3 linked regions of the Cricetulus griseus genome follow. The protein of the gene in region 2 interacts with the protein of the main gene of each other region in a biochemical or structural test. Links are inferred from orthologs where the notes say so. Each region holds a gene or a part of one and is shown on either strand. Other genes may lie near its edges.

Region 1 (4,266 bases), on a different chromosome or scaffold from region 2:
CTCAAACAAGCTGTGTGGAAGGCATGCTACTGGGTCTCCTAGCTTCAGCTCTTGACCTTCCACAGTCTGTTCCCACTCCATTTAGAGGAAAGCAAGTCAAGTTACTTTTTGGATTAAAATCCTCTAAAGGTTCTTCTTGCACTATGAATAGAACCCACAAGTGTCTTGCTATGACTCATGAGATCTGTCATAATTTAGTCTTTCTCCCTCACCCCCACCCCCCCCCCCCCATCCCTGCTTTTTTTTTTTCTTTTCTGGTGTATGTGTGCCTGTTTGGGTACTCGTGTGAGGCCAGAGGACAACCTTGGATGTTATTGCTTGGTCACTGTGCCCCTCATTTTGAGAGATGGTCTCTGATAAGCTTGGTGCTAGCTGATTGCACTGGCTTGTCTGGTTAACCACAGATAGGTCCTCTCTGGCTCCTCCCCAACATCCTTCAGCTTTTTGCTCAAATATTACTTTCTCAGTGAACTTTCCCCTGGACGCTCAGTTTCCTTATATGTTTGTCTTTCCTGTTTCATTCTCCCCTAAGCCAATGTGGCTCCTGTAGCAAGCTGATCCATGGGTTGTTTTTGTTTCTTTTCGTTTTCTGTTTGTTAAACTCTACACTCAGGGAGGCCCTGACCACAAAGAGAGCAGGTGTTCAGGTACACAGTAGCTGTCCAGTGATTGTTTTATAGATCAGCCTGTGGACTTGTGTCAGCTACAACAGGAGCAGACTGGGGACGTGCCTGATTTCAGGACAATTTGTGTCTGTAATTGTCTCCCCTGCAGGACACACTTGTTGGAAACTAAGGTTCTCAACGGTTCTCCAACTCTAGTAACTTCGGGAAGGCAGCAATTAAGGATTCAGACTAGATGAAGGATGGGGGAATCCACTTTCCAGGAGGTGGCTGAAGGGGCAGGTGACAAGAGATCAGCGGGCGGGCACTGAAACAGGCCAGCTTGGGTTTTGGGCTCTGCCAGCTGTCAGCTGTGCAGGGAAGGCAACTGAGCAAGTTACTCCCTCCCTCACACGGAGTTGCTTTGTATTTTAAAGGCGCGGGTGTGTGGGGAGGAGTCCATCAGGTCTTCCTCTTTGGCAGGCTATTGCAGGGATTGAAGGCGATCTTCACGCAGGTAGCCCACAGGCATGCTGCAGAACGCAGGTGTGGCTGTGGAGCAACAGAGGAGGAAGTGGCAATGTCGGCGTGGCATCTAGGGGAGGGTGCATGGAAGGGAGGGGAAGGCTAGGAGGATCTCGCGGGCAGGACGGCAGTTGGGTGGGGGCAGGGAGCAAAGGAGGTGTTTCCTGGGACAGGGGGCGGAGACCTAACGGCTATAAGGTCCCCCAGGACTCAAGTTCACTGAGCTTCTGCAGACACTGGGCAGCTTTCGGTACTCCTGCTGTGAGCATCACCTGTGGCCCTTCTTGCCTGCACCTGCAGCCAGCACCTGCAGCTCGCACCTGTATCAGGCCCCAGCCATGACGCACAAGGCGGCCTTCGACACGGATATCAGCACCCTGACCCGCTTCGTCATGGAGCAGGGCAGGAAGGCTCACGGCACGGGCGAGATGACCCAGCTGCTGAACTCGCTCTGCACTGCCATCAAAGCTATCTCGTCCGCGGTGCGCAAGGCTGGCATCGTACACCTGTGAGTTAGGCCTCTGGTGGCCCTGTCTGGTCTATTAGAGCGCCTGGGGGTCTGCCTCTCTGGCCCCCCTGCTGGTAACCAGTGTGCCCACTCGACACCTGAGATTCCTGTCTCTTGCCCTGCTGCTCACAAACCCTTATTCTCTTCCTCCTGGTGATGGAGCAGGTCCCCTGGGAGGGCTGTCTTCCAGGTGCATAACCTGCTCTACCCCTCCTCTGATCTCAACTCTCCTTGTCGCTCCTCCCAGCCTCATGGTAAAAGTGAGTGACTTAACAGTTGCCCATTTCGGTCTCAGACAGAAAGAGACACGGTCACCTTCCTCCCCTGTTACTCTCTTTGGAATTTTGGACCCAAGTTGTTTCAGATCCAGTGTCATCCTCGACCTAGACTAGTTCCGTTAAGAATATTCCACCAAGCGATAGTTTAGGAAGAAGTGAATACCCAGTCAAGTCCGGCTGTCTATACAGTGTCCTGTCCTCTCTCTGGGATTAGCTGCAGAGCCTCACCTCGAGAGCAACAAAACCTTTCCCTATTTGCATTAATGCCTTGAGCAGATCTTGCCCAATTAGCGAAGAGCTCGAAGACAGGGCAGATGTAGTAGTCTTCTTTTGATGGAGCCAAGGAATTGATTTCCTTCTTCTGAAACATTTGGGGACCTTGTTATTCAGACCCTCCTTCAGGGGTGATTGGGGAAGGTCTGAAATTCTGCCTTTCCAATAAGTTTCCTTGTGGTGGGTGATTTTTTATTTTTTTATTTTTTTATTTTTTGAGTCAGGGTCTCACTCTGTAGCTTTTGATGGTCTGGAGTTTATACTATGTGCAGAGCTGGCTGACCTTGCACCCACAGAATCTGCCTGCTTCTGCCTCCTGAGTGCTGGGATTAAATGTGTGCACCACCACACCTGGCACAGTAGGTGATTTTAATGCTCTGATCTATAGTTCATACAGTATAAAAGGAATACTATATAGTTCATACAGAAGGAAGTGAAGAAAACCTTTCTGTAAACTACTCAACTCTCTTTTACTTTGTTCTGGTCTGAGCACATGTTTGGTATCTAACTGGTCAGCATACAGCTGAATGGAACCTGGGTTTTCAGATTATTTGTATATTTCCTTAATATTTTTCATGCCTATTAGCAATGCAGAAATGCCATTCAAGGTTTGCGGCTAACTTGAGCATAATAATCCTTTGAAGTGCATTTTTTAAAATGCTCCCCCAACAATGAGGCCTGGGTTATTTATTTCTTTATGCATCTATTTCTCAAAACCTCTGTTTCTACTGTGTGGCTTGGTTGAGCTAATTCTTAAGAATGAAGCACCTGGTCACATTTACTTTCAGATGCCAAGGAGGGCTAGGCCTTGCTAGAGAAAGCTAGGAACAGGTATGTTAGAGGTGAGAACTCCCTCACCATCTTGTTCTTGGCCCTAAGGAGTTATTGAGCAAGTGCTGGAAGGTAAAGTCTCACTTCAACTTGAGTTTCCAGGGCACAGATTTAACTCTCTGAGTACCTGGAAGCTTTCTAAGAGACAGCAGTTGGCATTTTTTTTTTACATTATTTTAAAAATGCACCAGTACTTGTCACAATCTCAGAAAGACTTAGAACCCCCAAATCCCACCTAACTAGCCCCGGAAAATGGGAATGGGGTTTGGTAGAAGGTGCCAGTTTTGGCATGGAAGAGAATGTATATTGGTAGACTAGATGGTCATGACACCATTTTTGAAAATATTATCATAGATTCCTTAAGGAGTTGTACCCATTGACAAAAACACCACGCCATTCAAAAGATATGGAGGAAAAGGAGACCCCCCCACCCATGCCAAATCCTCAGAGTACCCGCTGCTAACTGTTGTTGATTATTTTCTCTGACTCTTCTTTATGCTCATGTAAATATCTACATGAACATGCATTTACATGTTCCTATGTAGCTAGCAAACAAAATGGGACAGTATTTACCGTGTTTTCCTCCAATTATGTAATGAACATTCTCTGGCATGGGGTGTGACACCATCCACTTCCTTTTAAACTGCTGCAGGATGTTCCACTGAGCAGACATCTTGAATAATGGAACCCTTCTGTGGCTTTGTGGCATTTAAGTCCTTGCTACTCTGGTTGTTACAGTGGTAGGACAGGTAGGAAGCATTCTTGTGGGACAGTGAGCAGGTGACTACTCACAGTATGACAAGCAGTCAGACTTCCAGCAGCCAGATATGATCTCGACAGGCCTCCAAATTATATTCATTTGGGCTTTGATGTATTGAATGAAGAGCCAGTGCGGCTTCAAAGAGCTTAATTATCACTCCCAATTGGCCCTAGAAAAGCATGCACCCAAAGGGATGGGATGGTTGTAGATATTTCAAGAACCTCATTGGGACTGGTTTCCAAAGCTCAGTCTGGTGTCTCACAGCTCAGCAGAGTTATAATTATGGTTCATGCTGCTGCCTTGTCTCAGTTAACTTCAAAGTTGCCACTGTTGTCATTTCCATTGCTCCTAATGATATGATATCATGAGACAGCATTTCCTATAGCCCAGGTCAGGTTCTGGGGAAGGGAAGGTTAAAAGTATGGAGTTGGAAGAGAAGACATGGAAAATGAGTGGACCAGGTGAAGGAGTGACCAGAGCTATAGTAGC
Region 2 (3,510 bases):
AACCCTGGACCTGCCAGCGTGCAGCAGTCCAGACCTAGGGTGCACACCGAGGGTGCTCATGGCACTACACGAGGCGGCAGGGGCGATCGCCCTCAGCACGGGGCTGGGGCGGGAAGGGGGGGGGACAGATCGCCTTCCCCACACTGATCCTGGGACTCTTAATAGCCACGCAACCCTGCTGATCTCTTCAGATCAGATTCATCTTGGACCCTGCTCCTCTCCCGGGACAGGTCCCGATTGCCTCTCTCTCGGGGTCCCCGTCCTGCCCCTCACATGAGATCCGCCACTCCCATCCAACTTTTATTCCTCCGCTGCGCTAAACGTTCGGCTCGCCCACCCTCCCGGCCCGCTTTTAAACCCCAGGCAAATCAGGAGAGCAGATGGCTAACACGAGAAGGGGTGATGGGGGTGGGCAGAGTCCCCTCGACAGAACGGCTTCTCCCTAGTCCTTTGTGATCCATCTACGGGGTCCACTTGGGCGAACTTTCTGCTTCCCGAGTTTTAACAATAAAAAAAAAAAAAAAAAGTTTGCGTTGAGACCGCCTCCTCCGCGTTCCGGCGGGAACTTCCTTCCTGCCGGAGACCCCGCGCGCCCCCTCCACCTGGGGCTCAGTCTCTCTCTCTCTCTCGGTGCTCCGCCGCGGCCCCGCCCACTCGGGAATCGTCCCGCCTCTCCCCGACGCCGATTGGCCCGCCGGAGGCTGCAGACGTCGCCCCGCCTGCCGAGGGGGCGTGGCTTCGAGGTGCAGCTCCGCACGACCCGCGCGTTTCATCCGCCTCGAGCCTGGGAGGCGTCGTCGCGCGCCCTGCTCTCTCTCTCGATCCCCGGCGGATTCCCGCACGCGCGGGGGAGGGAGGGGCCGTCGCTCTTTTTTCTTTTTATTTCTTTTTTTTTTTTTTTGGGGGGGGGAGGAAGAGGCGGGCGGCCGGGCGCCGCCGCGAGCCGCAGGCCCGGGCACACCGGCGCGTGCGTAATCGCCGCTAGCCCCGCCCTCTCGCTCAGCCCGCCCGCGCCCCGCCCCGCCCGCCCGGGGTGGCGGCGCCCAGCGCGCGTGCGCGGCGGCGTCGGGCGCCAGATATTTCTGTCCCGCCTCCGGGCCGCGGCTCTTTCTGCGAGCGGCGCGCGGTCGGGGACGGTCCTTTCGCGAGTCGCGAGCCGAGGAGCGCGAGGTCCCCGGCGGCGGGCCGAGGCGGAGGAGGAGGAGGAGGCGGAGGAGGGGGGCGGCGCCGTCGTCGTCGTCGTCCTCGTCGTCCGCAAGGGAGCGAGGCCGGGTAGCCAGCCGCGGTTTTTTTTTTTTTTTTGGTTTTTGTTTTTTTTTTGTCTTTTTTTTCCTTTCTATTTTTGTGTCGCCTGCGTCCCCAGAGGCGCGCGCCGCGCGGGCGTCGGCCCCGGGAAGACGCGTGGCGGCGGCGGCGGCGGCGGCTCGGCGGCAGCGCAGGCTCGGCCCGGCCCCGGCCGTTGGCGGCGAGCGCTCGTGCGCCTGCGCGGCGGCCTCCGCGCCCCTCCTCCCCCGGGCGGGCCCCCCCTCCCTCCGCCCCCCGCCCCCCCCCACCCCACCCCCCACCCCCCGGGGCGGGAGAATGGCGGCCTCGGCGGCTGCAGCAGCCTCGGCGGCCGGCCGCGCGGCCACGGCGACCTCCGGCAGCCCCGGCTCGGCGAGGGCCGGCGGTGGGCGGCGACAAGCGCCCCGCCGCCCTTCTGCGGCCACGGACGGCCACGGCGACGGCGACGGCGGCGGCGGCGGCCTCTGCAGCGGCGGCGGCGGCGGCGTCGCCCGCGGGGCGGTGGCGAGGCGCAGGAGCTCCTGGAGCACTGCGGCGTGTGCCGCGAGCGCCTGCGGCCCGAGCGGGAGCCTCGGCTGCTGCCCTGCCTGCATTCGGCCTGCAGCGCGTGCCTCGGCCCCGCCGCACCCGCCGCGGCGGCGGCGAATAGTTCCGGGGATGGCGGCGGCGGCGCGGCGGCAGCAGCGGCAGCATCAGCAGCGGGCGACGGCGCTAGTGAGTGGGGCTGGGTGGCCGGGGGACCCCTCCCCCCTCCTCCTCCTCCTCCCCCCTCCCTGCAGCCCTGCGCCTGTGCGAGAGTCTGGGGGGCTCCCCCCCCACGTAGGGTAGCGGAGGGGAGGGTTGGGTTAGCCCCCGGTGGCTTTAGGCTGGGGGTGGGGGGGTGGGACACACGAGCTCTTGGCCTCTGCGCTGATGTGCGCGTGGCCCCCCTGGTCCGCGTCCGCGAAGATGCAGAGTGTGGTAGGAGATGGGAAAGTAGCGCCAGGGCAGGGAGAAGGGTAGATTTGTGTCTGTCTGTGGTTCCAGCCTTCTTGGGGGGTGGGGGGTGGGGGGAGGCACGCAGGTCACAGCCTTCTTGGAGGGGGGGGGGAGGCACGCAGGTCCGGAGAATGTCCGGCGTTCACGCCCTTGTGTCCCGCAGTGGTGGATTGTCCAGTGTGCAAGCAGCAGTGCTACTCCAAAGACATCGTGGAGAATTATTTCATGCGTGATAGCGGCAGTAAGGCTTCCTCCGATTCACAGGATGCTAATCAGGTGCGTTGTCCTGGGGGAGAGAAAGGGGTTGTTGCGTCCTTTTTCTGGAGCCTCACCATCCTCAGCTTGCTTGGCTGTTTTCGGGATCTAACCCCAGCTTCCCGGAGGGCAGTACAGATTTGAGGGCATGGTTATAGGAAGTTTAGGTTGTGTGTTCTGGGAAGTAAGTGGCGTGTCTGCTGCGCGGTTCTGCCGATTCTAACCCTCCTCTCTTTCACAGTGCTGTACTAGCTGTGAAGATAATGCCCCAGCCACTAGCTATTGTGTGGAGTGCTCTGAGCCACTGTGTGAGACCTGTGTGGAGGCCCACCAGCGGGTGAAGTATACCAAGGACCACACTGTGCGCTCCACAGGTAGGTGAAAAATTGGAGGCTGTTGGAGCTACCCTCTTCTTTCATTTGCCCAAAATGGCTGCTTGCTGGATGGTTTTCCAGGGACCTGACACAACAGAAAAAGTTCCTGGGTTCAGTAATCTGGGGTTCTAGATGGGAAGGGAAAGGTCCTAGCCAGGCAGTGTGTGTAGGGTGTCTTAAGTATGTTGCAGTCAATACTAAGGATTGAACTAATACCATCTTGGGAAACTCAGACAGTGAGTGAGTGGGTCCTGGTGGTAGACACCTTATCGTAAGCAGCCAGTGAAAGCAAGATGGAAATGACTTTTTGGATTTGAATGTTCCCTGTCTGGCTTCTGGCTTTAGATTGCTGGAAAAGTAAGGGCTCTGGATCAGGCAGGGTTTCTTTTATTTTTTCATTAAAGATTTATTTATTATGTATACAGTGTTCTGCCTGCAGCATATATTCATGCAGGTCAGAAGAGGGCACCAGATATTACAGATGGCTGTGAGCCACCATGTGGTTGCTGGGAATTGAACTCAGGACCTCTAGAAAGAACAGCAAGTGCTCTTAACCTCAGAGCCATCTCTCCAGCCCCCAGGAAGGGTTTCTTGACCAACCATCTTGACAGGTTGGTAA
Region 3 (4,041 bases), on a different chromosome or scaffold from region 2:
AAAAGAAAATTCAGGAAGTGACCAGATGATGACTACCAAAAAATTAATTTAGTCAGGCAGTGGTGGCACATGCCTTTAATCCCAGCACTCAGGAGGCAGAGGCAGGTGGATCTCTATGAGTTTGAGGCCAGCCTGGTCTACAGAGTGAGTTCCAGGACAGCCAGTGCTGTTACACAAAGAAACCCTGTCTTGAGAAAACAAAAACAACAACAAAAAAAGAGGATTAATTTAGTACTTTCTGAAAGGGAAAGTGATTTCAAGGCTGAGGAGTAGTAACCTCATGGAGGTGGAGATAAAAGATTACAGAGACCGCTGGACATTACTGAAAGGTGGAGATTTGGTAAATCTCAGGGGACAAATATGTTAAGATTTTTGTTGTTCTTTTGTTTTTCAAGACAGGGTTTCTCTGTGTGCGCTCCTGGAAGTCGCTCTGTAGACTAAGCTGGCTTCAAACTCACAGAGATCCACCTGCCTCTGCCTCCCAAGCGCTGGGATTAAAGATTATTCTTTAGCCTGGTAGTAGTGGCACACGCCTTTAATCCCAGCGCTTGGGAGGCAGAGGCAGGTGGGACTCTGTAAGTTCGAGAAGAGCCTGGTCTACAAGACCTAGTTCCAGAACAGCCTCTAAAGCTACAGAGAAACCCTGTCTGGAAAAAAAAAAAAAATATATATATATATATATATGTATATGTATATGTATATAATATGTTATTATATATATATATATATATATATATACATATTAAACGCAGAGGATATTAATTACAGAACTGCCCAGAGGCAAATGGGGTTTTTTTGTTTGTTTGTTTTTTTGGGGTTTTTTTTGGGCGAGGCAAATGGTTTTCCTGACCAAATATCTAGGGGCTAGTTTCCAAACACACGTGTTCTGGGTAGACTGAGTAAGATGTTGTGGCCTGTCATCTGAAGTTTGAGGCAAAAGAAAGGCCACGAGTTCGAAACCTGCTGGTCTACATACCCCGTTATTAAAAAACAAACAAACAAGCCCCACCACCACTCAGCAAACTTTCTAGACTGTAGAGTTATAAACTACAGTCGACCCCGCCTTTCCAGTTTAAAGGAAACAACCCTAGAAAGTAGGGGGGCGGGGCGGGGGAGGGAAGAGACTCGCGCGGCACTCTGGGATTTGTAGTTTTGCACGGACTCAGAGTCCCATGATGCCGTGTGGCGGGTCACCGCGTCTGCGCGGTGCCGGCGGCGGGCAGCGCAGAGTGAGAAGCTCTTTTGTTCGGCTGAGGGGAGGGCCATTGGCGGGGCCTGGAGTAAGCGGCTTCACCGAGGCGTCCCATTGCCACCACAAGGCTTTATTGCTTCTCTGGGCGCTACTCCCTCGGGCCGCCCGACGCGACGCACTAGCAGCGGAGCACCGATTCTTGGCGGACTCTCGGGCGCTGCTAGGAGGTGAAGAGGCGGGGGGAGGGGGCGCGGCGACGGCGGGAGGCCGCGGGCGGTCGAGGGCCGCGAACGGAAGCCTGGAGCGAGCGGAGCCGGGGGCGCGGCCCGGTCCTTCACGTTCGCTTCCCGCGCATAGCTCGCGGGTTGCGGGAGCCTGGAGAGGGCGGGGCAGCGAATCCGGAGCCCGGGAGCCAAGTGGTTCCAGATGAGAGCCGAGCCTTCCGAGGGTTAGCTCTTCAGGAGCTGGACCGAGACGGATTGACTCGAGGGAGCGACTTTGGAGTTGGGCGGGAGAAGAAAAACTTTAGGACTTAGCGACATAAGAGGACAGGCTTGGTGCTTTGGGTATGCGTGGCACGGACCACGACTTCCTACGCTAGAGGTTTAGAAATGTAACCTGAGAAAGCGGACACGGTGGCGGGCGCGGGCAATCCCAGTAGCACTTGGAGGAGAGAAAGAAAAAAGAAAAGGAATTTGAGGATATTGAGTCCGACTGACAGTATCAGTAATTTCTCTTGCCAGGGTCACGAAGAAGTAACTTCCAGGACAAGGGTCTTGGGTTGCTCAGGGTGTGCTTATTGAGAAAAGATTTGTTGAACAAATCTGGGAGCGAGGGATCAGACGTTTTCTTGACCGGATTCTGTAAAGGAGTTCTTGGGATAAGTAGGGTAGAGGTCCAGAGAAGGATCGAGTGAAATGTGGAAGAGAAAAGGGGTATCTGGAAATGTAGCTTAGTTTGTAGAGTGTTTGCCTAGTGGGCTGCAAACCCTGGATTCAGTCTCCAGTGGCACATAAGCTGGTTGGGTGTGAAGGCATGGACATGTAATCTTAGCACCCTGGAGGATCAGAAGTGTAAGACCTTTCTTGGCTGCATTGGAAGTCAAGAAAGGGTGAAAGGGCCACTTTTTGCCTAGTAATGGGTCTTTTTTGTTTTGTTTTTGAGACAGGTTTTCTCTGTAGCTTTGTAGACCAGGCTGGCCTCACTCATAGAGATCCACCTACCTCTGGCCCCCTGAGTGCTGGGACTCAAGGCATTCACCACCACCGCCCTGCCATAGTGGGTCTTCATTGTGAGTTGGGAGACTAAGAATAGCATGTGTAAGGCAAGACTCCTCAGATAAAAAGTGTTTGCTCAATCTGAGCAAGCCTTGAGACCTCAGTTTAACTCCTGGAACTCAGGTAGTGATGGAAAGAAAGAACCCACTCCAGAAAATTGTCCTATGATCTACCCGTGAGGGTATGGCAGGGACCGGTAAAAGTAGGCTTCCACACACACAGTAGTGATATTTTTATTAGAAAATAGTTATCAGCTGGGTGGTGGTGGTGTTGCACACCTTTAGTCCCAGCACTCGGAGGCCAGAGGCAGGCGGATCTCTGTGAGTTTGAGGCCAGCCTGGTTTACAAAGCTACACAGAGAAACCCTATCTCAGAAAAAAAAGTTATGAAATATGGAACTCATTTTTCCCAAGTTATGTACCACTGAGTTATGTTCCAGTACCACAAAAAATATTTTTAAAAAATGAGTTTTACAGCTGGGCGGTGGTGGTGCACACCTTTAATTCCAGCACTCAGGAGGCTGTGACAGGTGGATCTCTGAGGGAAAACCTGTATCAAAAAAGCAAGAGAAAAGAAAAAAAAAGTTTTACTGGAACATAAGGTGTCCTCTCCAGTTTTGAATTAACAATCATGTCAGCAGCTTGGAATAGTTTCAAAAGATCTAAGGTTTGGGGATAGATGTGTGACTGTAATCAAGAAATTAGTGCCTGTGCCCCTCCTTGGAATGAATGTTGAGAAGATTCCAGTGGTGTGTGTTGGTGACTCCTATAATCCCAACCAGCACTTGGAAGGAGCAGGAGCACCATGAGTTCAGGACCTAGGGAAAGCACCCATATTGAAACCACTTTCTCAGTAAAGGTTTGTGGATAATTCTTCAGTCACTTCTGGTTGGTCACTTTTTTTTATAGATAGTAATAAAATTGGTAGAATTTTACCCTCCCTTCTAGGTATTTTTGTGATCAGTTAAAATACTGTGTGTGCACATGGGTGCATGCCATATCCCATGTATGGAGGTCAGGACAATTTTGGGAAGTCTGTTCTTCTACCATGGGCTCAGGAGATCAATCTCACCATCAGGCTTTGTATGGCAAGCAGTTTTACCTGCTAAACTATCTCTGAGGCCCTCTGAACAATTTTTTGAAATAAAAGGCTGTGTGTCCCTGGCTGTCCTGGAGTTTACCCTATAGTCCATGCTGGCCTCAAACTCAGAAATCTGCCTGCCTCTGCCCCACCCCTACCCAAGTGCTGGGAGTAAAGACATTTTCATTTATTTATGTCTTTATTGTTTTATATTTTGAGACAGGATCTGACTATCTCTGGATGACCTGGAACTTGATATATACACCAGGTTGGCCTCAAATTCAGAGACATGCCTGCCTGTGTCTCCTGAGTGCTGAAATTAAAGTTGTTCACCACCACACCGAGTTGGGTTTTGGAGGGTGGCGGTGTTTTAGTTTTTAAACGTGGGGGTAGGGAGTGTGCCATGATATGCTGTGGAGGTCAAAGAACAATCCGTTGTCCTTCTCTTCTACTGTTATGCTAATCTGTTGAGTGAACACAGGTATGTTGGGC

The links.
Region 1: the proteins of Trim28 (region 2) and fructose-1,6-bisphosphatase 1 form a complex in vitro, tested with the Homo sapiens proteins (2 studies listed by BioGRID). The link is inferred for Cricetulus griseus from reciprocal best matches to the Homo sapiens genes TRIM28 and FBP1.
Region 3: the proteins of Trim28 (region 2) and Cbx1 form a complex in vitro, tested with the Homo sapiens proteins (3 studies listed by BioGRID). The link is inferred for Cricetulus griseus from reciprocal best matches to the Homo sapiens genes TRIM28 and CBX1.

Annotation. Positions count from the first base shown.
Region 1 is NC_048596.1:280,508,585-280,512,850, reverse strand, and holds the start of fructose-1,6-bisphosphatase 1, read left to right. Parts: upstream 1-1,465; coding exon 1,466-1,635; intron 1,636-4,266. UniProt on the Homo sapiens protein: Catalyzes the hydrolysis of fructose 1,6-bisphosphate to fructose 6-phosphate in the presence of divalent cations, acting as a rate-limiting enzyme in gluconeogenesis. Plays a role in regulating glucose sensing and insulin secretion of pancreatic beta-cells.
Region 2 is NC_048602.1:25,612,345-25,615,854, forward strand, and holds part of Trim28 (transcription intermediary factor 1-beta), read left to right. Parts: intron 1-1,003; coding exon 1,004-1,267; intron 1,268-1,363; coding exon 1,364-1,998; intron 1,999-2,425; coding exon 2,426-2,538; intron 2,539-2,758; coding exon 2,759-2,891; intron 2,892-3,510. UniProt on the Homo sapiens protein: Nuclear corepressor for KRAB domain-containing zinc finger proteins (KRAB-ZFPs).
Region 3 is NC_048600.1:109,939,985-109,944,025, forward strand, and holds the start of Cbx1 (chromobox protein homolog 1), read left to right. Parts: upstream 1-1,240; 5' UTR 1,241-1,419; intron 1,420-4,041. UniProt on the Homo sapiens protein: Component of heterochromatin. Recognizes and binds histone H3 tails methylated at 'Lys-9', leading to epigenetic repression. Interaction with lamin B receptor (LBR) can contribute to the association of the heterochromatin with the inner nuclear membrane.